4 linked regions of the Bombyx mori genome follow. The protein of the gene in region 3 binds, or shares a complex with, the protein of the main gene of each other region. Links are inferred from orthologs where the notes say so. Each region holds a gene or a part of one and is shown on either strand. Other genes may lie near its edges. The genes, in order: structural maintenance of chromosomes protein 2, structural maintenance of chromosomes protein 4, condensin complex subunit 1 and condensin complex subunit 2.

Region 1 (7,829 bases), on a different chromosome or scaffold from region 3:
ATATAAAAGGATGGCCATTTATAGGCAAAAACAGTTCTCAGTGGATCTTCGACATAGAAACATCAGCAAGACAGAAACAGTTCTCAGCAGATCATCAAGACAGAAACAGTTCTCAGCGAATCTCCGACATAGAAACATCAAGACAGAAACAGTTCCCAGTGAATCTTCGACAAAGAACCATCAGCAAGACAGAAACAGTTACCAGCAGTTCTCCAATAGTACAGTTATCAGAAAACCACCAGTGAATCAGCTACCAGTGAACCAGACAGTTACCTGTGAAACCTCGCTACAGAAGCCGAAACCCATCGAAAGAAACAGCCGTCTTCTACCAGCGCACAAACAGACAGCAGAAAATATTATTACACGACTCGGAAACAGCCATACAGACCGGGTCGTGTACAGTCATGAACTTATTAAGTCGGAGCACGTGGTCGAACTCGACTGTGGACGACGGGGGTGCCATACCACCGAACATCCTCCGGTGTGATAGCTCCCTGCCGGAGATCTGCTTCACACAGTATGCAGTCAGGCGGGAGCTCCGACTCCTGGACGTCTATAAGTCGAGTGGGCCAGACTGCATCCTCGCAGTGGTTCTGAAAACGTGCGCCCCTGAGTTGACACCTGCGCTAACGCATTTGTATCGCCTCTCTTATTGTATCCGTCTTCATGGAAGACCCCTTCACGTCCACCCTATCCCCAAGAAGGGCGACTGGTCGGAGCCATCGAGCTATAGGCCTACCGCGATAAGTTCCTTACTTTCCAAGGTGATGGAGCGAATAAAAAATGCACAACTCCTGAAGTATATGATTTTCATCCTGTATATCAATGTCAATGACATGATGTCTATTGATGATATGCATTGCTATGCGGATGACAGTAAGGGGGATGCGCGATATATCGGCCATCAGAGTCTCTCACGGAGCGTGGTGCAAGAGAGACGATCAAAACTTGTGTCTGAAGTGGAGAACTCTCCGAAGCTAATCTCCGAATGGGGCGAATTGAACTTCGCTCAATTCAATCCATTGAAGACATAAGTTTGCGCGTTAACTACGAAGAAGGACCCCTTTGTTATGGCGCCAAATCCAAGGAGTATCCCTGCAACCTTCCGAGAATACCTGGATACTTGGGGTCTGTCCAATTTTGGAGTCATTTGGAAGGCAAAGCCAAGTTGGCGTCCAAGATGCTGGAAGTCCTCAACAGAGCAAAGCAGTACTTCACGCCTGGACAAAGCCTTTTCATCTCTGGGCTAGGGTTACCAAATACGAGCTACTTCGATTTCACTCTATATAGAAAAGGGCCGCTCGGATTGTCGATAATCCCGGATCTCACGGATCATTTGGAACCTCTGGGTCTGCGGAAGGACTTCGCTTTTCTCTGTATTTTGTACCGTATGTTCCATGGGGAGTGCTATGAGGAATTCTTTGAGATGATTCCATCATCTCACTTTTACCATCGCACCGCCTGCCATCGGAGAAGAGTTCATCCTCGCTGGGTATCTTATTCTGTTTGAGATATAGAAGCACTATTTCTTGATATCGATGCTATATGATAACAGCTTTATTAAAGACACTATTGACTACATTCTAGCTCACGCTCGTGCAAAAATCAGCCACTGTCATTTACATCGACAAGTCCTAGTAGATCCATCCGCCCTGCTTTCGATTTGTTGGACATTAGTTCTAATGCTATACGATTACGCTATAATGATACTAGTTCATCGGGCGTTTTATTCTTTGGGCTACAACTTATAAAAGGGTGAGATTTAATGTCTGAGTTTGTAGACTTTTTGGAAGTTGTCAAGTCCACGTCCACGGCCGAAGCCACGGCCTATGATTTTTTTTGCGCTTATGAACTTTCACTACATGGTTAAAATACTTCATTTTCTGTACTTACTACAATTTATTTTAGTTCGAATCAGAATCTATTACATTTGAATCTGAGATGTTATCTATCTTCTTCTTCTATATATATAAAAATGAATTGCTGTTCGTTAGTCTCGCTAAAACTCGAGAACGGCTGCACCGATTTGGCTAATTTTGGTCTTGAATTATTTGTGGAAGTCCAATGAAGGTTTAAAAGGATAGATAAATATGAAAATGCTCGGAATTAAATAAAAATAACAATTTTGTTTTTCCTTTGATGTCCCCCCCGCCGCGCGCCGGACGGATTCCTTTTGTTTGTTTTAAATTTATTTTCTTCAAAGGTTTAAGTCTTTTATTTATTGATAGAGGCACTACGAAGTCTTCCGGGTCAGCTAGTATGCAATAAAGAAAAGAAAAAGAATCGGTACACTTATAATTTTTTACCTCTTTACCATATTGTTAATCTAAATCGAATTAAAATCTTTAAAAAAAATGTTGTCGAGAAAAATATAATGTGTCAATGTCATTAATCAATGAATGTCAAAAATATTTTAAAAACACAAATCAATTTTGATTTCATAAAAAAATCAACGGCTTCTCTAACGCTTGATGAATTCGTATGAGTTTAAATTTTTAATGAATTTTCTTGTTCTATAACTGTTGTTTTTATGATCTGAACATGTTTATTAAGTCAATAGTGTTAGATGGCTTCAAGTCTTACGGAAACCGAGTGGAAATTACTGGATTTGATCCAGAATTTAATGCGATCACTGGTCTAAATGGGACTGGAAAATCAAATATCTTAGATTCTATATGTTTCGTACTTGGAATCACAAATTTATCGAATGTATGTTGTAGTTTATTATTGCTAACAAAATAACAACTGTTGCTGATTTATTTCCCGCCAAATACCATTCACTGTTAAGGGTTATGGCGATATAGTAGCAGCGTTTATTCATGATAATATTCAATTACCTATCAAATATGCGACATAAATCCTATGGGCATCAGAATACATGATGACTTGAAAATAAAAACATACACTTTTCAAGTTCTAGTACAACAATAATATCGATTGATGCGAAGTAAACTCGACAATGATGTTTTCTGCTTCTTTCTGGGTACAATTATAAATAATATGAATATTCCAACAATAAAACATAGTTGCTTCTTGGTCAAAATGCTTGTTTAACAAAATTTGTGCCTAAATTATTAATTAATTTATTATAAAAAAATAGGTACGAGCAAGCAGCTTGCAGGAGCTTATTTACAAGCATGGGCAGGCAGGTATCACCAAAGCAACAGTTAGCATTACCTTCGACAACAGAGATAAGAGACAATGTCCGATTGGCTATGAGAATCATGATGAGATTACTGTCACTAGACAGGTAAGACATAGTTATATTGGAATAGTAATTAGTAATCAACAAAACATCTAGAAATTGAATAACCATTTGCTAAGTTTCCAGGTTCATGAAGCTTCCATTAAATTACTTTATTAAAAAGTTCCAAGAATACAATAGTTCCAAGAATATATACATGATTAATAAATCAATATTCAAATGTTTGAGATGACATGATTTAATACATCATTTACAAATCATTCGATCAAGTAGCTTGACTTTTACTATTAGCAAACCAAGCTAAATTTCATAAGCTTTGCTGAACAAAACAAGAAATAACGTATAGCATTCAAAAGTTATATTTCCTCATCCAAATTTGCTTAATCAAACTAATATAAAGAACATGCTATTTAACAATTATTGAAACAATTTGAAAAATAAATTTCAGGTGGTGATGGGTGGTAAGAATAAATACCTTATAAATGGTATCAATGTCCAAAACAAGAGGGTCAGTGACTTATTCTGTTCGGTTCAGCTTAATGTCAATAACCCACACTTCCTCATCATGCAGGGAAGGATTACTAAGGTGCTAAATATGAAACCTCCTGAGGTAAGCCATACATCAGCTTCAGCAGTTAAATTACTTGTATGACCTTAGTAAATAGTGTTACGAACTGAAGTTCTGGATAAAATAATTATTTCTTACTAGCTGACCAGGCAGACTTCGCAGTGCCAAGACCTAAACTTTTGTATAAAATAAACTTAAAACAAACACAAGGAATCCGTCCGACGGGGGATACATCAAAGGAAAAACAAAATTGTTATTCTTATTGAATTCCGAGAATTTTCATATTTATCTACCTTTTAAAGCTTCTCTGGACTTCCACAAATAATTCAAAACCAAAATTAGCCAAATCGGTCCAGCCGTTCTCGAGTTTTAGTGAGACTAACAACCAGCAATTCATTTTTATATATATAGATAATCAAAAACATATATAGATTATGAATCAAAATCATCAAGTCTAATTACAAAATACTTTGATTAGTACTTTGATAAGTATAGTGACTGATTTCACTATTATGATGCATTAGATTGCATTCAAATCTTGTCTTGGATATGACTTCACTTTAAGTCGTATGATTTTTCTCACTCCTCTGAATGAAATTTAATCTTTCTAAAAGCGTGTGCACTGTAATTTCTAGTAAGGTCTTAATTGCTTTGTGATTTTTTTCTTTCTCTGTACTGTGTGGCATTAGTTGTATTGTATGTTTGAGCTATTTGTGATGATTAAAATATAGGTAGAGACATACAGCCTTAGTAATAAATGTGGTGTAATATCCTTATGCTTCCCAATTCGTGCCATCGTAGGACAGAAAATATTTGACAAATTTTGAAATCACACTAATGGCATTTTCAAAAGAAGCTTTGCATGTGTTAAGCCAGTTACAAACAATATTTGGACTTTTGGTGTATGGAACAAAATTATCTGCTTGGTGGAAGATGTTTCTTATATTGTTTTCCCTCAAACACTTACTAGCCACAATATCAGTAAACTTGAGATCTTGTCTTCTGATATGGAAGATTTCCATTTAACCTTGCTCTGTGGCTGCTGCCCAGCCATTGTTGGCCCTAAGATAAAAAAAAAGCTGTGAGCACAAGAGTTTTATATCCACAAGACAATGTTGATGCTACCACTCTCCCTGAGAACTGAAGTTGAGCTGGCAGTACAACATCCCATGAGCTCGTATAGGTATGTATCACCACTCTGCCTATTTTTGCCTTGAAGCAGTAATGTGTTTCGTTTTTCAAGGGTGGGGCAGTAATTGCACACTGAGGCTTGGATGCCTTTTCCCACGGTGGGTGGCGGGGCTCCCGTATCCACTTAAAGTCAGATGGGCTGTGAGCTCAATGACCTATCTAAGTAATAAAAAAAGGCAAAAAACCTGTGCTGTAATTGTGTTTGACATCCTTGTGAATAAATGAAATGTAACTAATTTAGCTGATCTAATGATTACAAATTTCTTCTAATAATTATAAAATACAATAAACAATAAAAAGGCCATAAGAACATGAACATGGTAAATTGGCACTAGAGACATTCATGTTTAGCATTGGCATCCAATAACCACATTGCACTGAAGGCTAAAATATATACAGCTACAATACCACTTTTTTGTTAGATATTATCAATGGTAGAGGAAGCGGCAGGTACAAGAATGTATGAAGCTAAAAAACAAGCAGCACAGAAAACTATTGAGAAGAAAGATGCAAAGCTCCGGGAACTTAATGATGTAAGTCAATTGTACAATTTTACTGTCACTGCACACTGTACAAATGTCGATTCGTTTTAAAGCATAATATGACACAAATAAAACTATTTTATCACTTCATCAAATTAGTAGATTTCTAGGACTACTTAGGTGGACTTTCAGAACTGCCAATACTTTTTTGAATAAAATAATGATTTTGTAGAAGGGATCACAATTAATCAGATGTAAATTTTTTTGAACTGAACTAAAACTTCTCAGAAAATACATTAAAAGAACTGTTGTGGCAAAATTGTTTCTGTTCAAAATAGATAATAAGAGAAGACATAGCACCTAAACTTCAGAAGCTGCAAGATGAAAGATCTCAGTTCCAAGAATATCAGAAGGTTGTCAGAGAATTGGAGAATATCACCAGGCTGTGTGTCGCTTGGAAGTGAGTATGGTCATTGCCTAAGTTCCTAGTCGCCACAGGACTGCGCGGCCGCCCGTGTGCCTCCCTGTTCAGTGTAACACAAAAATGTCAGTATGTTGAGTACTTCTTAGTATGTTGAGTACTTCTTTCTTTCTGTTTTAAATACATTAAGAAAAGAAAACAATTTTATTGAACATCTCTCTCTACAGTATACATGCACAAGTGTCCATAGTATGTTTATTACCTTCCCCTTCTAAACCACTTATTTACATGATAGAACAAGGCAATATTTTAGCACATCATAGTCACGAAAGTTAAAACGATATCTCCGTTACAGGTATGTTTCTGCTGAAGAGCAAACCAAAGCAGCAGAGGGAAAAGTCACGCAAGTGCAGGACGACATTAAATTGAAAAAAGAGACTATTAAAAACAATGAGAAAGAAATGAAAGAGCTGGATAAGCAAGTTGTTGACTTAAACAAAAAACTGGATGAGGTAAGAGACAGCAGTAAGTCGTCGCTTTTCGTCCGTGAGTCCAGCCCCAGAGCGGGGCTCTTGTCGCATTCTATGCGGTCCGGTGTGAAGGGATACACTTGAGACTTGCACTTTATGTCTGGATCTGGAGCAGAATTCACATAGTAATGGTTATTGGAACTGATATCCATTGTGCATTAGGCAACCATGAGTGCGTTTAATCCATAATTTAAGGAATCTGCTATCAATTCGTGTCGTTATTATTCATCGGATGATGTAGTTAGCTGATAAAGTTTAGACTTTTTATATGTAAACCACTAATCATTTAATTATTGTATCAGGAGAGTGGGAATGTCCTCAAAGATTTGGAAGTAGAACTTCAAAACTTGGAGAAGGTTGAAGCAGCAGCAAGTTCACAATATAAAGGCAGCAAAGAAGCCCTGAGCGGACACGAGAAGAGAGTCAAACTACTCGAAAAGGCACTGGCTGAGGACGAGCAGGCTCTCACATCAAAGCAACAGATTCTTAATGAGGTGCGGTCCCAGCAGGATACACTTGACACTTCTTGAAAGTAAACTGTCTTTGGATGGAAACATTCGAATTACAAAGATAAATTAGAGTGAATCGTTTTAGTCAAATGGTTGGTTAATTGTTTCCGGTGACTCTTTCTTTTATTAATTTATTCATGCATGTGGTTGTGGAAACAATATTTGTGATGCTCAAGCTCAACACACCTCAATGCACTCAAAGAAAACATTTATTTTACCTGCTCTCCATAATATGTACTTGTTTTATATGTGAACTAAATTATGTCCTAAAGACACTCCTTATAATGGCACGGACCTGTACATGCGTGAAGAACTACAATACATCTGTTTAATAACCAATGAATGACCGATATTGTAAGTGTAGCACAGCATTACGAAGAAAACATGGCCTCTGCACTGAACTCTTCAGGTTCGCAGTACTAGCTCACACCCGGTATGCACTGGCTGTCTTTTCTTGGTCTTATGTGGACTCACAAAATATAATCTTGATAAATCTTGACAAAAAGTATTTATGCTTTGTTTACGTTACTCTTGACTTAGTAATTTATTGCTGTATCGGAATCGGATATGGCTTGATACATCCGGTATGTAGGATCCTTGCCTCGATAGACATAAGTATTCAAGAAACTGAAAATGTTTTATTTAACTATTACTATTTTACGAAAGGTCTCGTCAACATTCGAGAACCTTCGCACATCTAGTGAGACCAGTGAGAAAGCTTTAGCGGAAGCACAACAGAAGTTCTTGGCCGTGAGCACCGGGAAGGAAGATGCTTCTGAATCGCTGCAGGACCAGCTAATGGGTGCGTCTTGACGTTATGACAGACTAGTAGAAATTTATCTCACCTCACTTGTCGTAAGTTGATAGTGGCTACAGGTGTCACAGATAAAAGACTAATATCGTATATATCATCAACAAACAAG
Region 2 (7,363 bases), on a different chromosome or scaffold from region 3:
CACATTTATTCAAGAAACATTCCTTCAGTCAGCCACTAAGCTACCGATCGCTTGTCCCCAGCCCAGAGAACGTCCCGCGTCTCTTCGACTTGATCAAAGTGAAGGACGCTCGAGTGTTGCCGGCCTTCTACTTCGGCCTGCGGGACACGCTCGTGGCCGCCGACCTCGAGCAGGCCTCGAGGATCGCGTACGGCTCGACCAGGTACAGGGTTGTGACCCTGAAAGGAGACGTCATCGAAATTGCCGGTGAGTGCCACGAAGGGTCTCATCATCAGCCTATAACAACTGCTGGACATAGGCTTTTTTTACCTATGCTGATAGCCTTGAGAGGCTATTTCAGCTTCACCCTAACGTGAACTCACGGGGCTCAAACCGGAGTGTTGCTAACACTGACCCTAGCAAGCACAGTGCTTCGCAGAATCTACCACCGGATCGGAAACGCGACAGTCTGAGAAGATCCGGCGAGAAGCTCATTGGGCTGTTTCTATGGGTTATTCGCTCGTCGAGCGACGGGTTCGACGCGGACCTTGAACAGCATTAGCTGAGTCACCCCCTTTTGCCTTTTTCTCTTTTTTTTCTTTTCTTTTATTTGAAGGGCAATAAATTATTTTATTATTATTATTAGTGTTAATAAATAAGTATAATGTTTAAGGTACAATGTCGGGAGGCGGGCGGTCGACGATGCGCGGTCGTATGGGCAGCTCGGTGCAGCAGAACACATGCGAGCTGGACCCCGCGGCCGTGCAGACCAGCGAGAGGAAACTAGCTGAGCTCGAACAGAGGTCCTTATTTTTTTTGGAGCCCCGGAGACCTTTCCAGTTGAAGAGGCGAACTTCGCTAACGCCTCCGAAGAGGATCTTTTTTTTTATTGCCCGTGTAGGCAGACGACTATACGGCCTGATGGTGAGTGGTTACCGTCGCCTACGGACTTCAGCAATGCCAGGGGCAGACTCAAGATGCTGCTTATCTGACAGCTCAAAGGCCCAAATTGCGACACGCTGAGAAGATAGGAACTCAGCGGGCTGATGTATGAGTTAGGCTTCACGTTGAACCCTTTGACAACCAAACAGAGACCAGAGTACGACAGGGTTAGGTCAGGGATGTTCATTTAAAATATATATCGATGTTTTTTGCGATGCATCAGTCGGAGCGGTGGCATAGATGTTTTGCGATATATCGATAAAAAAAATTTAAGAACAAGTATATGTTGAAATTCTCTTTTCAGTATTGTAACAACTAGTTATCCACTATGGATTAACCTAAACAATTCAAAATTTTAACTTGCAGTGAAGTATGAAGTAAAAGAGCGGTCGACCATAAATTATACAGTCTATATCATAGGCAAAGGAATATTGTGATACTGAATCCTAGTCTTCGCAATATTAATGTCATCTCATTATTACTGAAAATTTTAAAAATAAACCGTTAGATCAACAATTATTATGGAGATATTTATTCGATATATGGATTGGAATACATCGATATATCTTAAAACATCGAATATAACTGATGCATCGAAATGATATGACACATCGATGTATATCGAGCGTCCCTAGTTTAGGTATACGCTTACAACACAGTTTTTTTTTTTAAGTGATATTATGATTTGGTCCTTTAAGTCATGTCTCATTTTATTTTATATTCTTATTTTTATAAAAAATGATGATATGGAGTGAAATGAAATGAAGATGATTAATTTGAGACATTAATCAACTGGGATCAAATGAGATGAGATGATATGGGATGAAATATAATCTCAGTAAAATGGTGGTCATTTATTGAAATTTTTTCAGTGGACTTTTTGGAGGATCCCGAGAAGTTACGTCCAGCGACTTTGTTTCATTTTCACACATTTGTGCACTTTCACAGATATTAAACAGTTAATAAACCATCGTTATTACACATTTAAACCCGAAGAAACACGAAATAGACAAAATAAAACAAATCACACAACTTCACTCCTCGCGTTCCCGCTAAAAAGTCGTTTTGTTTATAATTCGTAATACATTTACAGATTATCTGAATTACGCAACGAGCAGTCAAACGTAGAAGAGTCTTTGTCTGACTTGCAAAGAAAAGCCAAAGAGGGAATGTCGAATTTGAATAAAGTTAAAATTGAAGTGAAGAGCTTGTCACAACTGATACCTGAATTGGAGGTGAGAGGGGATGCCAGTACCGACCGGTACTAGGGAAACTGTTGCTATTGCTGTAGGGAAATTGCTGAAAAAAAAACGGTGCGGGTGCAACTTGGTGCACGTGAATGAAGTGACTCTTCTTTTTCGATGTGTAGTATTGTGGTTTTCTTCATTTTACATTCTTAAATCAGATTGCTCTTGTAATAGGGAATGCTGTATATAAGAGATGCGATAACATTTATATTATATACACTAGCTGACTCGGCAGACTTCGTGGTGCCTTAATCGATAAATAAAAGATCTAAAGTTTTGTATAAAATAAACTTAAAACAAACAAAAGGAATCCGTCCGACCGGGGACAAACATCAAAGAAAAAACAAAATGTTATTTTTATTTAATTTCGAGCATTTTCATACTTATCTAAACCTTCTCTGGACTTCCACAAATAATTCAAGACCAAATTTAGTCAAATCGGTCTAGCCGTTCTCGAGTTTTAGCGAGACTAACGAACAGCGATTCACTTTTATATATATTATTATATATATTTTAAATTATAGATTGTAAAAATAAATATAACATCTATATATTTAAATACTTCATTAAAATATTGGAGCTACTCGTTGCTAACGCTCGCCGGGTATACTACGCGCGTACGTTCGAGTGCCGCGCGTTCACTCTCGCTGTCTCTTTCTAGTATAGTAGCGTTAAACGTTTAACGCAACCTTGTTGGAAGTCGCAATAGAAGTTTGACTTCAAAAAAAAAAACTTGGTGCGGTGCCGGTGGATAGTACCACGTGGTTTCTCCTCGTACCGTGGATGTTTGAATTTGGATGTAATTTCAGCAACAAATAAAAGCGCAAGAACGAAGAGCGTCTTCGAGTAAAGTGGACCAGCAACGTAAAGCCGAGCTGGAGGCTGTTCTGCAAGACGCGCAAGAGAAACTGTATGAGGCCACAGGAAATGCTGCAGAGGTACGTCCATGGAATTTGTTTGGGAAACCTCTCGTGTTGCCCCTCCATAAGTTTATAAGAACATCTGAACTTTGTTGTTTAGTTGCTCGTAAATGAAGAATTCCTCGTATTTGTATTTGTAGTTACGTTGAATTTCGTATATAATTCTAGCGATAATTCTTTGGCATGATGAATGTTACAGATTACATATTATATTGTATAAGTATACTAGCTTTTAGCCCGCGACTTCGTCCACGTGGAATAGTTTTTTTTTTTATTGCCCTTGTAGGCAGACGAGCATGCGGCCCACCTGATGGTGAGTGGTTACCGTCGCCCATGGACTTCAGCAATGCCAGGGGTAGAGCCAAGCCACTGCCTACCGCTTAATACTCTCCACAAGCCTCGTTTGAAGAAGGACATGTCATAACGCTCGGGAAACACCGTGGAGGGGAGCTCATTCCATAGCCGGATGGTACGTGGCAAAAAAGATCTCTGGAAACGCACTGTGGATGACCGCAGTGGCTCCAGGTAGTATGGATGAACTCTACTCCGGTGGCGGGCGGTGCGATGGTAAAAACGAGATGTCGGTATCATCTCGAACAATTCCTCAGAGCACTCCCCATGGAACATACGGTACAAAATACCGAAGTCCCATAGTTACTTTGTATAACGCTAAATTTTACCCGCCTCTTCATTTACGTAGAAAGTAAAAATATTTTTGAATAATACAATGTTAAGGAGCTCTTTAAGGTACCCAAAATCACGCTCTTTAACCGACTCCTAAAGAGGAAGTTATCAATTCGACCATAATTTTTTAACCCCGATTCTTTCAACATTGTTTATTGGTGCTCCGTTTATATTGGTCCTAGCGTGATGTTATATAGCCTATAGCCTTCCTCGATAAATGGGCTATCTAGCACTGAAAGAATTTTTCAAATCGGACCAGTAGTTCCTGAGATTAGCGCGTTCAAACAAACAAACTGTTCAGCTTTATAATATTAGTATAGATAAGAGACCACGATTTGATTATCTTCTCATCAGATTTTACCTTAACTGAGTAATTGAATCCATAAAAAAAATTGTAAAGCACGCGTCAATCGTTATGTTGTAGGTCGAAGAACAAGTTAACGAGGTGGAGGCGCAGATATCGAAGATAGCCGGCGGCAAGGTCAAGGACCTACAGAAGAAGGTCACTGAACTTACGGCGAAGATCGATAAGATCGTGACTGAAACTACGAAGCTGAAGGTCGCGATCAGCACCAGCAAGCGGTGAGCGATGACCTCCTAGTCACAGTTAGTCTTGGCGCAGTGTTGCACCACACCGTCCCCCCGTGGGAGCGAGCGACGTTCATTCTCGTGTGTCCCCCCTACCGCCAGTGATTGACTTACACAAATTTTAGAAATGCCAAAATTTCATTCCTGTGGTAGGACCTCTTGTGAGTCCGCACGGGTAGGTACCACCGCCCTGTCTATTTCTGCCGTGAAGTAGTAATGCGTTTCGGTTTGAAGGGTGGGGCAGCCGTTGTAACTATACTTGAGACATTAGAACTTATATCTCAAGGTGGGTGGCGCATTTAAGACAGTCTGTAAATAGTCGTATGTCCTGTAAAAGAGGTTGCACGCCACGACAGATATTACACTTAAGACATATTTAGCCATTACTACAAGACTGTCTGATGGTGTATTTATGAAATTTTAAGAACGCAACAACTTTCTTATTAGTAAACAAGTTAGGAATATTTCTGATGGATAATGTAATTAGCAAAAAATACATATAGTGTTTATGACGTCACTGTCATTAAAACAAAGATGTGCGAAAGAGATGGGGAGATTCACTATCCAATCAGTCTCTCATTAAATCCAAGCTCAAAACATAAACAAATATGCCATTTTAGATGTAATCTTGTAAGCGCATCTTGTCTGATCAATTGTGCTTTTACTAAAATTTGTATTATTGAACAGGAATGCAAACAAATCGAAAGATAAGATCAATCAGATGGACGCAGATCTCAAAGAAACTGATAAAACTCTAGAAAGTCTGAAAACACAGAAAAAACAACTCGTTTTGGACAGCGAACAATATCAAAAGCAATTCGAAGAGGTGTGTACGGTTACAAATATTACTTTTCTGTTAAATGCCTATATACGTGATCTTCTTTGGTAGTAATTTTGGCTATATTTATATATTACGAGACAACTCCTTAGTTCTTATCTTATCACCTTGCTTCTTGCTTGTTTCGGTGAATTTGGGTCTGGACTATAAAAGGACAGTTTTTGGACTGTTCGACTTCGCCCAGCACGTAGGCGGAAAAAAGACCTACTTTATATTCTGCCAAGTATATAGTTGTGAGAATTGAGATCAGAATTCGAGAAATCGTTTTGTTGTCACATAAAGTGAACAGTTATTGAAAAGATGACGTTATTGAATTATTGAAACTAGAGGACCCGCAGTAGTCGAAATTCGACTATAACTAATTGGAATTGTAAGTTTGTACACTATTACGATTGTATTTTATACTTCTATAATCACAAATTTCGCCAAGACTACACTATAAAAAATATTAACAAAGACAAACCATATTCTATTCTCAATTTGACAAGACGTCAAGAACAAAAGTTTGACAATAAATAGTATGCATGCGTGTGTGCGTCAAATACATGGTATGTAGTGTGTGTAATCTTTTCTTTATTGATTTAATGTATCTTTTATGCATTCTTTAAAAAAAATATTAGCATTGTGCACTTCTTCTCTATATTCTCTATAAGTGAGGAAAATTTCATACTCCTCTGTCCGCGCAATTTTCGTAAAAAAGGATACAAACTTTTTGCTTCACGTATTAATATATAGATTGAAGTTTTATTTGTGCCTACATTTATTGCATAATAGCACGGAGACTTTTATATATTCGTATCTATATTAAAAAACAAAGATTCAACTTCAAAGGAAGAAAATACTCGTAAAGGAGTAATAATATTTTGATATATTATTAGAACATTATACAAAGAAGTTTATAGGGTTATTAATTACATATTATATTTTGTATAGTGGTTAATTAATTGCATACTTCACCATAATTCGACAACCGACCCACATCCTAATATATTCATAATGTTTATCTTACTTCTTAACATGAGGAGGATTATCATTGCAGTTGGAGGAGGAAATCAACGAGGGCACCAGTGAATTTTCAGAGCTTAAACAGGAGATAGCGAAATTACAATCGAAAGAAAATAAGCTGAAGAGTGAGCGTTTAGAAGCTGCCAATGCTGTTAGCAAAATGGAGAAGTCCGTGCTCGACTGCAAGAGCAAGATCCCTCTGTGGGAAAAAGAGGTGGGTAGTTGTTTTTTTTTTTTATTTCTACTGCAACTCAGGACTTTTTGGCGGGAACGCGAGGAGTGAAGTTGTGTGATTTGTTTTATTTTGTCTATTTAGTGTTTGTTCGGGTTTAAATGTGTAATAATGGTTGTTTATTAACTGTTTAATATCTGTGAAAGTGCACAAATGTGGGAAAATGAAACAAAGCCGCTGGACGTAACTTCTCGGAATCCTCCAAAAAATCCACTGAAAAAATCTTAGTAAATGACCACCATTTTACTGAGATTAAATTTCATATTTCATCTCATTTTTTTTATTGCCATTGTAGGCAGACGGGCATACGGCCCACCTGATGGTGAGTGGTTACCGTCGCCCATGGACTTCAGCAATGCCAGGGGCAGAGCCAAGCCGCTGCCTACTATTTAATTTCATCCCAGTTGATTAATGTCTCAAATTAATCATCTTCATTTCATTTCACTCCATAACATCATTTTTCATAAAAATATGAATATACATTAAAATAAGACATGACTTAAAGGTCTCAGTTACCAGGTCATAAAATCCCTTAAAAAAACTGCAACTCACGTGGTTGAGTATCCTAAACTCAATATAATATATACTCAACTGATATATTATTTTATATATTTAGTGATATTCGCCAAGAACATGTATGCTAGGTTTTATTAATTATTAAAAATAAACAGTCACTTTACAATTTAAAATGAGTAGAGCTTTCTACTATTTATTGATCACTAAATCATTTACTATACCTCTAATTAATAATTTTGTATTCAGCTATCAAGTCTAAGGTTAGAAGACTCGGGATTAGACGGCATCCCTGGGGTGGAGAGGCCGGAACCGCTGCGTCAGCACACCCCCGAAGAACTGGAGGAGAGTTCTGTGGATGATCTGAGGAATAAACTGGCAGCTCAGAAGAATAGAGTGGGAGATAATAAACCTA
Region 3 (8,113 bases):
AATGGCGCGTTCGAGTACGGTACGTTGTCGGTTTACCGGGACACAGTTCTCCCGTTGCAAACGACACCAGAATTGGAGCACCTTATGAAGATTATTTATTACCAAATGCTTATATATTGTCATTTATACTTTTACTCGGTATGACTTTTTTTTATTGCCCTTGTAGGCAGACGAGACGAGGCCCACCTGATGGTGAGTGGTTACCGGCGCCCATGGACTTCAGCAATGCCAGGGGCAGAGCCAAGCCGCTGTATACCGCTTAATACTCTCCACGAGACCTCGTTTGAAGAAGGACATGTCATAGCGCTCGGGAAACTATACTTATAGTAAACTAAAACTAAACTATAATTATAGGGTTTTTTTTTCTTTTGTTCTCCTTTTAACAATAAACTGACTTCTTGTTCTTCGTGTATTATATACGTACAGAGGTTGTTTGATTGATTTTATTAGAAATGCAAGTATTTTATTAGAAATGAGAGCAAGGGCGAGGCTCTTGCTGTGAGCCTTGATATCGCGAAGGCCTTCGACAGGGTCTGGCATAGGGCACTTCTATAGAAGCTACCATCTTACGGAATCCCTGAGGGTCTCTGCAAGTGGATCGCTAGCTTTTTGGATGGGCGGAGCATCACGGTCGTTGTAGACGGTGACTGTTCTGATACCATGACCATTAGCGCTGGCGTTCCACAAGGTTCGGTGCTCTCCCCCACGCTTTTCATCCTGTATATCAATGACATGCTGTCTATTGATGGCATGCATTGCTATGCGGATGACAGCACGGGGGATGCGCGATATATCGGCCATCAGAGTCTTTCTCGGAGCGCGGTGCAAGAGAGACGATCAAAACTTGTGTCTGAAGTGGAGAACTCTCTGGGGCGAGTCTCCAAATGGGGTGAATTGAACTTGGTTCAATTCAACCCGATAAAGACACAAGTTTGCGCGTTCACTGCGAAGAAGGACCCCTTTGTCAAGGCGCCGCAATTCCAAGGAGTATCCCTGCAACCTTCCGAGAGTATTGGGATACTTGGGGTCGACATTTCGAGCGATGTCCAGTTTCGGAGTCATTTGGAAGGCAAAGCCAAGTTGGCGTCCAAAATGCTGGGAGTCCTCAACAGAGCGAAGCGGTACTTCACGCCTGGACAAAGACTTTTGCTTTATAAAGCACAAGTCCGGCCTCGCATGGAGTACTGCTCCCATCTCTGGGCCGGGGCTCCCAAATACTAGCTTCTTCCATTTGACTCCATACAGAGGAGGGCCGTTCGGATTGTCGATAATCCCATTCTCTCGGATCGTTTGGAGCCTCTGGGTCTGCGGAGGGACTTCGGTTCCCTCTGTGTTTTGTACCGTATGTTCCATGGGGAGTGCTCTGAGGAATTGTTCGAGATGATAACAGCATCTCGTTTTTACCATCGCACCGCCCGCCACCGGAGTAGAGTTCATCCATACTACCTGGAGCCGCTGCGGTCATCCACAGTGCGTTTCCAGAGATCTTTTTTGCCACGTACCATCCGGCTATGGAATGAGCTCCCCTCCACGGTGTTTCCCGAGCGCTATGACATGTCCTTCTTCAAACGAGGCTTGTGGAGAGTATTAAGCGGTAGGCAGCGACTTGGCTCTGCCCCTTGCATTGCTGAAGTCCATGGGCGACGGTAACCACTCACCATCAGGTGGGCCGTATGCCCGTCTGGCTGCAAAGGCAATAAAAAAAAATAAAAATAAAAATGCAAATGCCTGTAACTATAGGCTACAAATAAGATGTGGATGTGATTTTTTTAGTAATAGCAAAGACACAGCCATGACTTCTTTGAAGGACGTTTCCAAAAAGCTTAGTTTGGTTCTAACTTGACGGCCGTCTGGTGTAGTGGTAAGTGATATGGTCACTACACAAGGGAGTCGCGGCTTCGAATCCCGCCAAGGGAAGATATTTGTATGATAAATATAAAATGTCTTTTCCAGGGTTATGGATGTATATTAAATATATGTACGTGTATAATAAAAATCTTACATTTATTTCCGTTATCTGGTACCTGTAACACAAGTTCTTTACGAACTTAGCAAGGGACGAGTTAACGTGGCGTGTAAAAAAAAAAAAAACTAACCTTATGGCGTACATAAGCGGATAGATCGTGTATGTGCTCATACAAATCGTCGAGGAAGTCGTCGCGCTGTATGCGCTGCGCGTCCGACAAGCCCTCGCCGCGCAACTCCACGCTCAGCACCTCGCACATCATCCCGAGCACGCTGATACGGAGCGTGTATGACTGTCAACCAAAATTAATAGTTTCTTTTTACACATCCTTGGCTTTGATGGACAATAGATAGCATTGGACCGGCCGCACTGGGGATCACTTGGAGAAGTCTATGTTCAGCATTGGACAGTGGAGAGGCTGAGATGATGATGATGATGATGAGATTGCATTTTTTTTTATCTATTCTAGTAACTTCGAGGGGTTATTCTAGATTCACCGAACTAGTAGGTGAGCTCGCGGGGCTCAAACCTGACGATGTTGTTGCTAACACGAACCCTAGCAAGAGCCGTGCTCCAAAGAATCTACCACCTGATCGGAAACGCGACCCTCTTTTTGTACCGCGTTTGTACATCCCGATGTATTTTTTTTTAATTTTGTTACTGCTATCCTGTTACGATTGTCTATTAGTGATTAACTTAATTTAATTTAATTTTAATTCACAATTTTCATGATAAGTTAGTTTCATGAAGAGATATTTCAATTGGCCGACCTCAGTAATACTGTGCTGATATAAATGTATGTACATGGGTAAGTTAAGATGTAGTAATGTAATATTTAATTATTAGCGTCCAAAGCAGAAGAGCCAGCAGCTCCACTTGTTTGCATAATTTCTATCACGCAAAAACATCAGTTATACAATACAACAACAATACAGGACATAACTTTTGCCCTTGTAGGCAGACGAGCATACGGCCCACCTGATGGTGAGTGGTTACCGTCGCCCATGGACTTCTGCAATGCCAGGGGCAGAGCCAAGCCGCTGCCTACCGAACTATACTAAGGCCTCATCAAACGCCCTAGAAACGTTAGGAATAGTTGATATCTTAAAATAACCTTGTCAGATCTGTAAGCTGTTTAAGTACTGACTAATATCTTACCTCATCGCTCTCCAAATATGGTTGTAATGTCGCAATTGCATTGGCCATTTCTTTAGGTAGTTCTTTGGTGAGTTCCAATAAGAAAGCCCCACAGTTCCTAGCTGCACTCTGCTCTGTGCCTGTTGTTTCTTCCTCAGTTGACGCCAGAGCTTCTGCTATTTCACGAACCTATTGTAGTATAGTTGAAAAAGCAATGTCATTAAATTCCTGGGAGCAGTTAAGTAGCACCAAGTCGGTGTAACTTTTACCTCAGTAATTGTCTGTATCGTGTTGTTTCTTAAGGATAGCGTAGGTTTGTGATTGGTATAGAGTTCTGTTGCAGCTCCACAAAATATTAATTTACTAAGTCTATTCGTGTTTAGTTTAGTTATTTACTATTATTACTTTATTTTACCACTTTATACAGCAAGATATTAAGTGAGTTGTCTGTCTGTGGGTTAAACTAAACGCCGAAGCCTTCGTCGCATTCAACGGGTTCGCTGAGGACGGTGCTTAAAATGCCTAAAAACATCAAGAATTGATCAGAAGGATCCAAAATAATGATCCTAATACACAGTCATTAACGTTTTTAAAGTTATTAGTGGTGACTGAGATTACCACCCGATCGTTTGTATGAAATTTTTGTAACACAGTTAAACATTGATGATCATATTCTTAAACATATTGTGTTTGTCTAGCAGAAATTGATAACATAAAAATGGTTGTTCCTTTTTGCTGTTCCTTGCTTCTCATTTTAGTTGATCAGCCGTATTTATTGCTTGTTTTTATTATTATTCAGATTATATCAGTTTACAAGTCTTAGAATAATTTTTACTAAGTTACCTTATGTAAAAAAGAATTCTAGTCAAAAGATACAAAAGTTACAGCAACATATTTTAAAAGATGAGAAGATTTATTCTGAAATAATATATTTTCTATTACCATTTGTGGCCCAAAAGTACCAAGTCCAAATTCTTTTGTCAACTGTACTACTCCAGCACATATTGGTGACACAGCATGCTCAACCATTTGAAGTATCTGAAATAAAATTTTATTTATCTTTTTACTGTTCTTTTAAAAAACATTTTTTTTGTTTATTACTTAGAATATGTAGTCAAGTTCATGACTGAGTAAAAAAATCAATTCCAATCAAGTCCGTGTGATTGCTTTGCGACCGAAATAGCCAAGTGGCATCTTATTGTTTTGTAAGAATAAAAGGTTTAAAACCATATACATACCTGGACGAGTTTAATGAGACATGATGTCCCATGGTTATATTTCTTTATAAGGACTCCTAGAACTTGGAACACAGTGTCTCTTATAGCTTTGTTTTTGATCATTTGTTCTTCTAGTGCTTTGTAGCAAGGATCTGCTATCATTCTAAAAGTATTTAATTTCATATTTTCATTGTATTTTTTCTACAAAAGCTCTTTTATTGAAATAGCATTTATTAATCTTAAATTTTTTCACTTTGACAGTTAGCATAAACAAAAGATTAAATTATTAATTTTCAGAACCAATTGGAATAAAGCAATCACCAAGTGTTAGTATATGTATGTCTACATAAATAATAGATTAATATGAGCATATTGTGATTGGTTAATGTGATTATAGGGATAAATGCATAAACTTGTATTTACAATTTTATTCTATAGATTTGGGTGATACTAACGAAACAAAATTATCTTCAGCCAATGGAGGGTCCCACAATCTTGATAATGGTTGTTGTGTAACCAAGTACAGAGTGAGCATTGCCGCTTGCTTGTCAGATTCTGTCCAACCACATAATTCTTCTTCTTCTGTTGCCTTCTTACCTTTCTTGCCCAATGTTAGCTTAGTGGAATTCTGTGACATGAAAAAATATTATATGTATACATTTGAGATTTAAACCAAACCACACTTCTGTTTGTTACTTGTAAAAATCTCTCAAAGCAATCAAAATCCTATAGATCTAGCTTATATGAAAATAGAAAATACTACATTAATCTGGGTCTTGGTGACCTCGGCCTCTTGATGTCTAGGATACCAGAGCCAAAAACAAACCACATGAATGCTTTTACTCACTTTAACACACGAAGATGAACTCATAATGTTTTTTATCGAAAATATAACTTTCTTCAGTCTGGCCAAACATTGTGATAAAACAAAGACAAAAGTAAAAAAACTTTATTTTTACAAATAAAAAATGATGATGCGGGAATTATACTCACATCAGCAGCCAATTTGGTGTCTTTTGTTTTCATTATTTGGGTGAAGAGGTACATTATCATTTTAGTAATATTTAGATTTTTAACCCTCACATCAACATCCAATTCTTGTTCCTGGAGTATTAATTCTAAATGACTGCATAAATTCTTAGCAGCCCTTATTATGTGGTCAAAGCCTGAAAACCCAATCTAATCTTGGAATAGGTAATTCATATCATATTTCATACCTATCTTATGATATATTAACTGGTGGTAGGGTATCTTATGAGCTTGCATGGGCAGGTACCACCACCTTGCTCATTTCTGCTGTGAAACAGTAATGTGTTTCGGTACTAAAAGGGTGGGACAGCAATTGTACTGTAACGACAGAGACTTTCAACTCATGTCTGAAAGTGGGTGGCAGCATTAATGTGGTTGATGTCTATGGGCTCCTGAGACCCCTTAACACGAGGTGGGCTGTGATCAGATCAATAAATAAAAAATAAATAAAATGTCTTACTATATAATATATTGACCCAATCAATGAAAATTAGATAAGATCATATGCGTTTTTTGCTATGTCCCATTAATGAGGTTCATGAGTAGCAGTATCTCTTAACCATTATGTGTACCATAATATACACTTTATACTCAACTGCCATTGATGGAAATAATAAAAATCTTATTACACAAATTGTCCATAAAAAACTGTAAGACTATTTAATATTCAGTTCCTTGTTATATTTATAATTTGTTTGCTATAAGCATAAATTACCTTTGTTGATGACATTCCACTCCAGTTTCACTCCATGTACAATTATTGAAAAATATGTATCAAAATGTTCAAGTATATAATCAACTCCTACAGAATTATAAGCACGGGCTCCATCTGTAAATTTGTTTTCATTTGTAGTAAATATCAATTTGGTTATAAGTAAAATAATGAAACTGGACAACTACAATGTTTTATGTAAAAATCACCAATGCCCCAATTTTAAAGGACTTTAGAAAAAATTAGGATCGTATAAAGCTTCGGCAATTATATGAACTTAATATCTTTAAACATAACAAATTTTTGAGTGAATACCTTGTAATTTCGACAACATGAGTCGCGGTTGTACTACATCCTCGACGTGATATTGTCCTGCATGGGATTCTAATAACTCGTCCTTTTGTAAGGGAATAGCAAATTCAAAATGACTCATGTTTTGCTATCGCAAGGATTTTAGTAAATATGTTATCACATTTATTAAGGTAAGCTGTTTAAAGGTTTATTTATATTACAAACTAAACTCAAACACCGCACCTACAAAATCAGTTTGTTTTCAAAATTCAAATTTAAAGTGAAGTTGACGTGCATGACATATATGTCAACTTTTTCACAGACCATCTGGAATTTTTATTTAAGTAGGTATTTGAACAGGATCAAAGTTCCTTACTTTTAAAAATAGAACACTTCAGTTATTTATTTATTTATGTACACACAAAAAGAAGACATAGTACAGAGTAATAGGAAAATTATATACAAAGGCACTGCTTATTTCATTAAGAAATCTCTTCCAGCAGACTTGCGAGAGGATTATGAGAATAATAATTAAAAGTGATGTGTGTGTAGAGCAGCTCAAATAACAAATACAACATGAGAATTATAGTAATGCACATACACATAGCAAATATTGTTAAACAGTTAATAAGTTTGGAAAACATTCGTTTACAAAAAATTTGGAACCAATTGAAAATTTTCGTGTAAAACATTCGAATTTTACAATACATAATATTTGTATGCATAGTCACAATAGTTGCATGGACGGCAATGAAAGGCAAAGTAGGTTTTTTCCTAATGTGAGGCTTTCTATCAGTTAATTCCCTTTTATAGCTCCCGATGGCTCCTTGGCAATATTCACCTGAGCGTCCAAGCCCGGCCAGAGACAGAACATGGGAGCAGGTACGACCGTGATCAATACTACTCTAACTAGACGACCGACGTCATCTCGAAGATTACGCAGATAAAAGCAAACACGACTGATTGATTGAAAATTGAAAGAATGCTGATATCAGATTATTCGAGATCATCATAATTAGTCCACAAATGTCTACTGCTGGAGATAGGCCTTCACGAACGATAGCATATCTGGTGTTTAAGAACGCACTTTTTATGATGCGTAAGCCGGAACGCACGAGACGTGGGAAAAAGAAGATAGTCTGTGACATAAGACCTTTTTACCGCCAAAAAATTTGAAACCGAAAAAATAAGATATAATGTGTATAATAACTAATATAATATAATAACCTAGAATTGTTTATGCCGCTTCAAGTATAAAACTCCTATTGTTTCAACTGTGGTGTTAATTACGTAAAACATGATTTTACGGTGAAATAAAGAAGGGACTCTATATGGACTCCCTCACAGTAATAATCGGATCTGCGCAGCACGCATACTACGGATTTCCATTACCTTTAAGATGGCGTTGGTCTAATTTGTCAGAGGCCTACCTATTGGTGGACATTAAATAACTTTTTGGCTCCTTCAAGCTATATCGGTTATCTTGGTTCTCCTAATTGTTATAAGATAATATATCCATGGTTGTACAAATTTGGTGCATCAGACCTTATTTTATACAATCATTCTACGCCATTCAAATTCGGTAAATTATAGCACATAACTCTGACTCAGTAAAAATGTTATTTTGTACTTGTGTTATGAGTTTATGAGTTTTTTATGCTGGTATTACTTTTTGACACGTTGCCTACATGTCACTTGACGTTTAACTTTCGTTCGCCAGCAAAGAAGGCAAGGAAGCTGACGTATAGAATTCTAAGAGTT
Region 4 (7,906 bases), on a different chromosome or scaffold from region 3:
AAGAGGATTTTATTATCATAGACATGAATACAAAAAAGATGGCGCGTAACGGAAAAATGTGACGCGTAACCGAAAAATGTGACGGTAAATTTTTTTCCAACGCCGATAAGGAAGTTTCACTTCAAAAGGGAAAATATTACAGTTTGATATTATCATTAAAGAATTTCCAACATTTCGAAAACTTGAGTTTTCATGGTTACCGACGAATTCGTCATTAGTTTAGAATTGCATTTAAGTTTAATAACTTTTTTTATATATATATATTTAAGATTTTTTTGTACATAGAAAGTACTAATAGTATCCTGAAGCCTGACAATAAAAAACACTCTACCTATCAATAGGAGTTTTAAAGTTGGTCTCGTTCCACGTGTGTCCCGTGGCGAGCGTCTTCCTGCTGATCATGATCTTGGCCGGCTGGATGGGCTCGTAGTCCCCGACGGGCGCGGACCGGCAGTCGAACGTGAGTCCCGCGCCTTCGAAGTCTAACTGCCGCTTCGTCCGCGCCGGCTTCTTGTTGCCGTCCGCCATCAGCCGCCCGCCCATCGATTGCGTTCGCTCGGAAAGCTTTGATGCTGTACAGCCAATGTTAAAATATGATTAATTATGTTTGCTACGGTAAATAAAGATTAAGTGAGAAAGTTAATATTTCGATTTTATTGGATTACAATTATTTATTTGTTTTTAAACTAAATAAAGTGACAGTTTATCAAATTAAACAGAAGATTCATATGTTTGGGACGGTCATTAGTTTGATAGCTAAACGAAATGCAGCACGATTCCCGAGAGATGGCAGCACCATTGCGGTAACATCGGAACTCGGCTAACTTCGATGACCACTACGACAGAGCCTAGCCGATGGAGGCGCGTAGACGCTATCACACTTACCAATCAGCATTCTTGAAGAGGGGTGTCTCCATCCTAAGAACTGTCATTCGTTTTCGTTCGCTAACGCCAAGAGAAGATTTCTAAATTGATCTAAGACAACAACTACAATAACAACAAACGTGACGTTCTAACAAACGTGATTGGTGTGCTCATTAATTCTCTTAGCTCGATCACCCTATTCGCCCCTACCATTTCTGACGATGATGTTAATAAATGTGGCTACTCAGACATATATTTATTCAATATTTAGTGAATTGAATATATAGCCCGTGCGAAGGTAGCCTTATAGATAGGTAGAATTAAGAACCTCTGTTGTTTTTGAGTCTCCAGTGCGCGGGCCCCGCCCATGCGGCGGCCAGGGAGCAGTAGGAGTACTCGAGGCGCGCGTGGTGCGGCGCGGAGGGGCGCGCGTCGGCCAGGCGGGGCGCGGGGAGGGCCACGCGCGCCACGCACGCCGCCACGGCCGCGTCCGCCTCCTCGCCGCTCTCCACGCCTCCCAGCGGCTCATCGTCTGCAAACGTTAACCTTTACTCGTAAAACGCATCGATCTTTTTTTTTTTGCTTAGATGGGTGAACGAGCTCACTGCCCATAGAGACCTATAACATACCTTACCTATTGACCTTAAAGGTCTCAATATGGTTACAACAGCTGTCCCATGGTTCAAACCGAAACGCATTACTGCTTCACGGCAGAAATAGACAGGATGATGGTACCTACCGGTGCGGACTCACAAGAGGTGTTGTTGAAAAACAACATTTATTGTACAGTTTGCAAAACTCACCATACAAATCATTGTGTAAGTCATCCTGAGGTATCGGCTCCACTTCAGCATTGACATCAAAAGCCAAGGCTTGCTGTGATAGATTCAATCTGTTCTCTTCCACCCAATTTGTCACTCTGTTTTCCCCACTACAAAATTTATAAGAATTATTTTAACCATACCCATAACATAACAATATACAAAACCACATTTTTTATTTTTATAGAATCTACTTCTATTAAAACAATCAATAAATTAATGTTAAAACTAAATTATAATTTTGCACAACACATATGATGCGTAGCTAATCATTTTGTATCAGTGTCTGATATCTACACTTTGGTATTTGTAGATTTCATCCTCAAAACATGTCAAGCAAAATAAAGTTGCATTCACAAAAATTGTTCCTATAAAATTGTTATACTAAAGTCCAACATTGGATACTATACCCAAATGTATAAAAAAAAAAAAATTTATCGCCGAGACACAATGCGCGCGCTCGACCATGAGATGTCTGATAAATTTAGATTTAGAATTGTATCCCTTGTGTTGGTTGGAACTCTTAGAAAATAGCCAAATGTTTCATTCAGCATATATATTATGGCACTAACTTGTCTTCGGTATCCGGATCCCAATTGCTTATAGAGAAACCCGTGAAAGGCTCACATAATGCATCCGTTTCTAAAAACGGCGGCAGTAACTTTACGGCGAGGGTGATGCGGTGTGACAAGTCCAACTCTTCAGGGATGTTCTCCTTGACAGGTTCTAAAAACTTGGTGTCGGTCCTGCATAATGAAACAAACAAATCTTGCATGCTACCAAAAAATAATACATCACTTTAAGTTTTTGTTTGAATACTATTTGCAATTAAGAGTAATTAAGTAATTAATTATATATAATTTCTTTTACATTGGATGAATCAAATTTTACTTTTTTACTTAAAATTAGGCTGTTGGAATATTTTTTTAAATACTTCAATTACTATACAACTAAACCATATTAAGCATTTAGATTTTAACATTAATGAGAATTAGTCAAACACAATGATCAACTCCTTCCATTACTCTTACCTCAGAATAAGCGCAAGAGTTTTGTCATGAATTGGTAATGTAGCATTGAACGCTCTATTTGATGATGTGACATCTCCTGTAGTTGCGGCCAGCCTCTCAAAAAATGGATCTATATAAAACACACTGTTTTTAAAAAAAAATTACAAACTACTTCTATCAGCACCCATGAGCCTACTAGAGAAAGAATATTTAAAATTGTAATTAGTGTTTATCTAGACACCTGTGTTCATCATAGTGGCTTATAAGGTCCAATCACTCATTAAGAATAAAATTGTAGCATATGAGATTAAATTAAACAATTTTAGGATAAATGGAATTATCTAAATTCCATTTATCCTAAAATTGTATAATTGAAATAATATGTAGACACAGTTTTAAAATTTTATTTTATTAACTCATAGGTTCATTAATTACGTTTTTGTTGTATTTTTGGTAATATGCATATGGATAGCCTTCTGGAACGCACGGGGATAGCATGTAGGTATACAAACTTACCTATACAGTCATTGATGTCGAAATCACCATTAAAAACTTCTGGATTTGCTGCTATCGCTCCTTTAGATCGTTTCTTTTTTTTCTTAATGGGTGCAGCATTCACATCTCCATCTAATGCACCTTCGTCTTGTATATTTTCATCATCTTTTTTGCCTCTTTTTGACTGGAATAAAGATGTTATTGCATAATTGTAATTAATTTTACGGTAGTAGTTTATCATTTCCACCAATAACAGTAAATGAGAAATTCATTTGGTTGAGAACAAGGTGAAAGGACTACTGGATTGAATTTAGTATCTTTCGAATCAAATATTTAGGTTACAGAGCTAATTGTGATGATGGTATGAAGTCACTTTTAGAAAATACCCTAAATACCTTAAAACGGTCCAGATCAGGTGCAGGATGACAATGGGAACTATACATTTAATGTCAATCAAGAGTAAAAATAGTATTAGTAAACAGTGGTTTACCTGAGCAGCTTTAATTAAACCACCAGCCATTTTAAGTACATCATAATGCACGGCATCAACTCTGAATGAGTATATTCTAGCAGAAGCATCAACCACAGTGGAAGCAGTTTGCAAGTTATCCATACGAGCATCGTGACGTCGAAGCATGGAAGTCATAAAATCTATCAATTGTAGATTCCATGCATTGTCTTTTGTTATTTTCTGTGAAACAAAGAAAATCGTTGAGAAAACTTTATAAATAATCAATAAATATATTTAATTTTATTAAGAAACCAAATTAGCAGTAATCTTACAATACATTTTCATCACTTTAGAATTTTATTTCAACTCAACTAAAGCAAATATATTTTACACTTACCGTGATAATAAGTCAATTCTGAATCATAAATATGAGAAAGTAACATAAATGTGAGAAGGTTTTTGAACTGTTATTTCAATTCCTTAGAATATATTATTATTATCTCATCAATTAGTTGTCAGCAAACTTACATTTTCTGCATAAAGTTTAAGGCAACCTTGGAAATGTTCTTTCTGTGGTGATGAAGACATAGTCTCCCTTCCACGACGTGGAGATGCCTGTGGGGTAGATGCAACCACGCGATCTGATGCCACAAGTGATGACCTTTCAGCATCATCATCATTGCACTCCTAGTTGTTAACAAAGATTATATTACGGAAAAAAGATTTTTATACTTTTAGACCAAATATATGTTTTAAAACTTTAATAATTACAACATTAAATTTAAATTTAATAAATAATAATAACTTTTAAATTTGCTAGATTACATTCTTATATAGTGTGAGGAAGTATTGCTAGACTTGTATTGATAAACTTAATCTAGAAAACAAAATATATTTGCAATCAAAACATACACCTAGACACTTATTGTTTTAGTATCATTGGACAATTTTTGGATTATTCAGACATGCGGAAAACTTGTTATTTTATGGTTGGTGTATTAACAATCAAAACTTCATATTACTTATTAAAAACCTAATATAATAGAATGTGACAAGAATAAAAAAAAAATCTAGTTTTAAGCTTGTCCTCTGTAATTTTTATAACTAATGCACGATTTAAAATACAGCCACTGCCTTTAAATAATTGAAGCATTCATATTTGCTCACCTCATTTCTTGAATTGGCCACTCTATTTTGAGGTATCAAACTACGTCTTCTAATTGAAGTGTTACTGCTCCCGCCAATACTAATCCTGGATAAGGCAGGCGTTGAAGTTAAAGGATTTTCCATCATTTTCCACTTCAATCGTCTTGAGTTATATTCGTATTTTTCGATTATAATTACACAAGTATATTACAAAAACAAACATAAAGTGAAATTTGTATTCAACTAACACGAAAAAGAAAGAATTACAAACTCAACGGACATTTGGAAATTTAAACAAATTGTTTGGTAGGATTATTTTGAAGTTTGCGGTTTTGACAATAATAATCTTTTTTTTTTAGACAGAAAAAATTAAGGGCTCATACAATACAGCCAAAACTTTATGTTATTTTGGGACAACGTTTATTCAGTGTGGTCAGGCCTTACAAGATGGATCGACAACCTGTTGGAATTTTGTTATGGAATCCGTTAGATACAGGTAGTCTGATCATTATGGTGAACCTTGGCTTATGTCTAGCCGTGTATATGTGTGAGCTAATGATGATTTGAAATCAAGTCTTGCTAGTTATGTAAAAAGTAAAAGTTAGCGAAATTAAAAATAAGTTGAATATCAGAACTAGACTATAGGATAAAATTGAATGAAATGAGGTAAACTGAATTAAAGTTGATTAATTGGGAATTCAGAGAATTCAATTAACTTTTTGGAAGAAGAGAAGCCACTTTTTGAGATTTTGTTTTAATTCCCATACTTAGTCTTGAGCATTTTCACAGATGCTAAATGGTTAGTCATTAACCATTATTTTAAGCTTAAGCCTGTAGAAGCCCTAGCAAAATAGTACAATTACTTAACTTTTTTTATTGTCCTCGCAGGTAGACGAGCATACGGCCCACCTGATGGTGAGTGGTTACCGTCACTCATGGACTTCAGCAATGCCAGGGGCAGATCCAAGCCGCTGCCTACCGTTGAGTACTCTCCACAAGCCTTGAAGAAGGATATGTCATAGTGCTCGGGAAACACCGTAGAGGAGAGCTCATTCCAAAGACGGAGGGTACGTGCCAGAAAAGATCTCTGGCAGCGCACTGTGGATGAACACAGTGGCTCCAGGTAGTATGAATGAATTCTACTCCAGTGGCGGCAAGTGCGATGGTAAAAACGAGATGATAGTATCATCTTAAACAATTTCTTCCAGCGCTTTTCAATTTTTTTTTAATTTTAGATACTCCTCCTTTACCAGTCCAATTGCAGAAAAAACATAATGGTCAGTGATAATTATATATATTTAAAGTAGGTACATACTTAAAAACTGTGTAAATAAGCAATATGCGCATTGGTATACCTATAATATACCTATAATTATGTTTATTACTAATACTTAAACCCTATAAATCTATATATTTTTGTATGCCATGGAGTTAATAAGTGCTTACAACTACTAACTTAATGTCGTATACTTTTACCTGTGATCTATACCTTCAATTTCCGTTCTACTCTTGATCTGTGAATGTGAATTTTGGATCTTATAATTTCTACACCTACTACAAACGTTTTACTGGTAGCGAAGAAATGTGAACACGAATTCGGGTGAATTGAATCCACATGATATAATATGGCGCGAAGTCAGCAAATTGTAGTGTATAATCTATGGATCGCCTGTGAGACTATGCGAGTCTGTAATTTATTCGGCAACACTGGCTGTTTGTAAACGCTGCGCTTGTTGCCAACTTCCCGTCAGTCATTTTGTTGTTTGTTCTGATTTATTCGGTGGATAGTTTTTCAGTCTTTGAAATCGTCGAAAATCTTTGTCATCGAAATCGGTCAAGCAAAGTGACATAATGAGTTCTGGAATGCCTGAATTAGGCTCCAAAATAAGCCTAATATCGAAAGCTGACATTCGTTACGAAGGCCGACTTTTTACTGTCGATCCTCAGGAATGTACTATCGCCTTGGCTAGCGGTAAGCTAAAAAATGGATTCTTTCTCTTTAAATTTTTATGTAAACTATTGGTTTGCAGTTAATGTAAACGTGAAATATTGTAATGTCTCTAAAACACCGCGTTTCATCATTAATTCGCCAGAAATCGTAAGTACTCGAGAAAGTGCTAAGATTTTCCCTCCGTATGATCCAAGTTCACCTGTACGAAAATTAAACTTTATAGATAGAAGAAATCGTCATAAGATAAAAAGTTGATTCTTGCAGGACATCATTTTTTTTTCTACCCTCTTTAAATGAAATAGAAATGTGCCTTTGATTGCGTTTACACATTGGTGACGTTGTAAACTGTTCTTGCCGTACACCGTATATAACAATTGTTACATTGAACACGTCGTATGAAACGTCTGAATGACTAGCTATATTTAATAAAAAAAAATGTTATATTGGAATATACACCGTTGACCTTGAAAATCATATGCTAACTACCTTCAATTCTTGTAAGATTAAATATCCGATAATCTATTTTCTAATAAGTTTCATATTAGTCATTTGATTTTGGTCTACCTACTATAAATGTAATGTATGTAACTCAATTTAAATTAATTAAACAATACATCTTTTATCCTCTGGAGAGCTACATTTCCACATATACTGTACAATGCACAGTCTAAAACATGTAATGGGTCCATACTAGATAATATAAAATTTAAATATGTTGGTTTTCTCTTCATAGTCCCATGAGCTTTAATCATAATTCAGAAAAGGGGAATAATTTGAAATGGAAAAATTATTTTTACATTTGATAGTTGTAAATTTAAAATTATTACAAAATCAATCTTGAAGTTTAGTAGTTATTGAAGCTTGAAAAAAGTCAAGCATGAAATACATTTCCAATCATCTTATACAGCTCTTGATGGTGTATTTACAGGCTTGTATATGTTATTTAGCATGCGTAGCTTGATATCCATGGGGTAACCATTATTTGCAATATAATTATGCCTCAAAAATTAGTAAATGTCTATTGTGGATACAGAAATGGATTAGATATGATTTGATAATAGTTGGAATGAATTAGTATATGTATGTTGTTTTATCATGATTGGTTATGGTAAAACAACATACACGGTTGAAGACCAGGACAATGCACAAGAAGATGTATATAAAAAAA

Evidence for each region.
Region 1: condensin complex subunit 1 (region 3) and structural maintenance of chromosomes protein 2 share a complex: the UniProt entries of both Homo sapiens proteins name them as parts of the condensin complex. The link is inferred for Bombyx mori from reciprocal best matches to the Homo sapiens genes NCAPD2 and SMC2.
Region 2: condensin complex subunit 1 (region 3) and structural maintenance of chromosomes protein 4 share a complex: the UniProt entries of both Homo sapiens proteins name them as parts of the condensin complex. The link is inferred for Bombyx mori from reciprocal best matches to the Homo sapiens genes NCAPD2 and SMC4.
Region 4: condensin complex subunit 1 (region 3) and condensin complex subunit 2 share a complex: the UniProt entries of both Homo sapiens proteins name them as parts of the condensin complex. The link is inferred for Bombyx mori from reciprocal best matches to the Homo sapiens genes NCAPD2 and NCAPH.

What each region holds. Positions count from the first base shown.
Region 1 is NC_085131.1:14,292,346-14,300,174, reverse strand, and holds the start of structural maintenance of chromosomes protein 2, read left to right. Parts: upstream 1-2,399; 5' UTR 2,400-2,541; coding exon 2,542-2,709; intron 2,710-3,100; coding exon 3,101-3,250; intron 3,251-3,653; coding exon 3,654-3,815; intron 3,816-5,386; coding exon 5,387-5,497; intron 5,498-5,784; coding exon 5,785-5,906; intron 5,907-6,222; coding exon 6,223-6,379; intron 6,380-6,699; coding exon 6,700-6,891; intron 6,892-7,572; coding exon 7,573-7,708; intron 7,709-7,829. UniProt on the Homo sapiens protein: Central component of the condensin complex, a complex required for conversion of interphase chromatin into mitotic-like condense chromosomes.
Region 2 is NC_085134.1:4,024,205-4,031,567, forward strand, and holds part of structural maintenance of chromosomes protein 4, read left to right. Parts: intron 1-61; coding exon 62-246; intron 247-652; coding exon 653-782; intron 783-2,014; coding exon 2,015-2,156; intron 2,157-2,977; coding exon 2,978-3,106; intron 3,107-4,196; coding exon 4,197-4,354; intron 4,355-5,047; coding exon 5,048-5,186; intron 5,187-6,237; coding exon 6,238-6,417; intron 6,418-7,169; exon of another isoform or gene 7,170-7,197; coding exon 7,198-7,363. UniProt on the Homo sapiens protein: Central component of the condensin complex, a complex required for conversion of interphase chromatin into mitotic-like condense chromosomes.
Region 3 is NC_085114.1:10,417,631-10,425,743, reverse strand, and holds the start of condensin complex subunit 1, read right to left. Parts: upstream 6,659-8,113; 5' UTR 6,495-6,658; coding exon 6,377-6,494; intron 6,179-6,376; coding exon 6,065-6,178; intron 5,487-6,064; coding exon 5,314-5,486; intron 4,949-5,313; coding exon 4,776-4,948; intron 4,484-4,775; coding exon 4,342-4,483; intron 4,142-4,341; coding exon 4,046-4,141; intron 3,293-4,045; coding exon 3,125-3,292; intron 2,259-3,124; coding exon 2,097-2,258; intron 82-2,096; coding exon 1-81. UniProt on the Homo sapiens protein: Regulatory subunit of the condensin complex, a complex required for conversion of interphase chromatin into mitotic-like condense chromosomes.
Region 4 is NC_085117.1:9,015,241-9,023,146, forward strand, and holds the start of condensin complex subunit 2, read right to left. Parts: upstream 5,197-7,906; 5' UTR 4,935-5,196; coding exon 4,809-4,934; intron 4,329-4,808; coding exon 4,170-4,328; intron 3,882-4,169; coding exon 3,681-3,881; intron 3,375-3,680; coding exon 3,212-3,374; intron 2,826-3,211; coding exon 2,717-2,825; intron 2,432-2,716; coding exon 2,258-2,431; intron 1,796-2,257; coding exon 1,668-1,795; intron 1,397-1,667; coding exon 1,193-1,396; intron 573-1,192; coding exon 332-572; intron 1-331. Other genes in the region: protein LSM14 homolog car-1, read left to right, coding at 6,639-6,759. UniProt on the Homo sapiens protein: Regulatory subunit of the condensin complex, a complex required for conversion of interphase chromatin into mitotic-like condense chromosomes.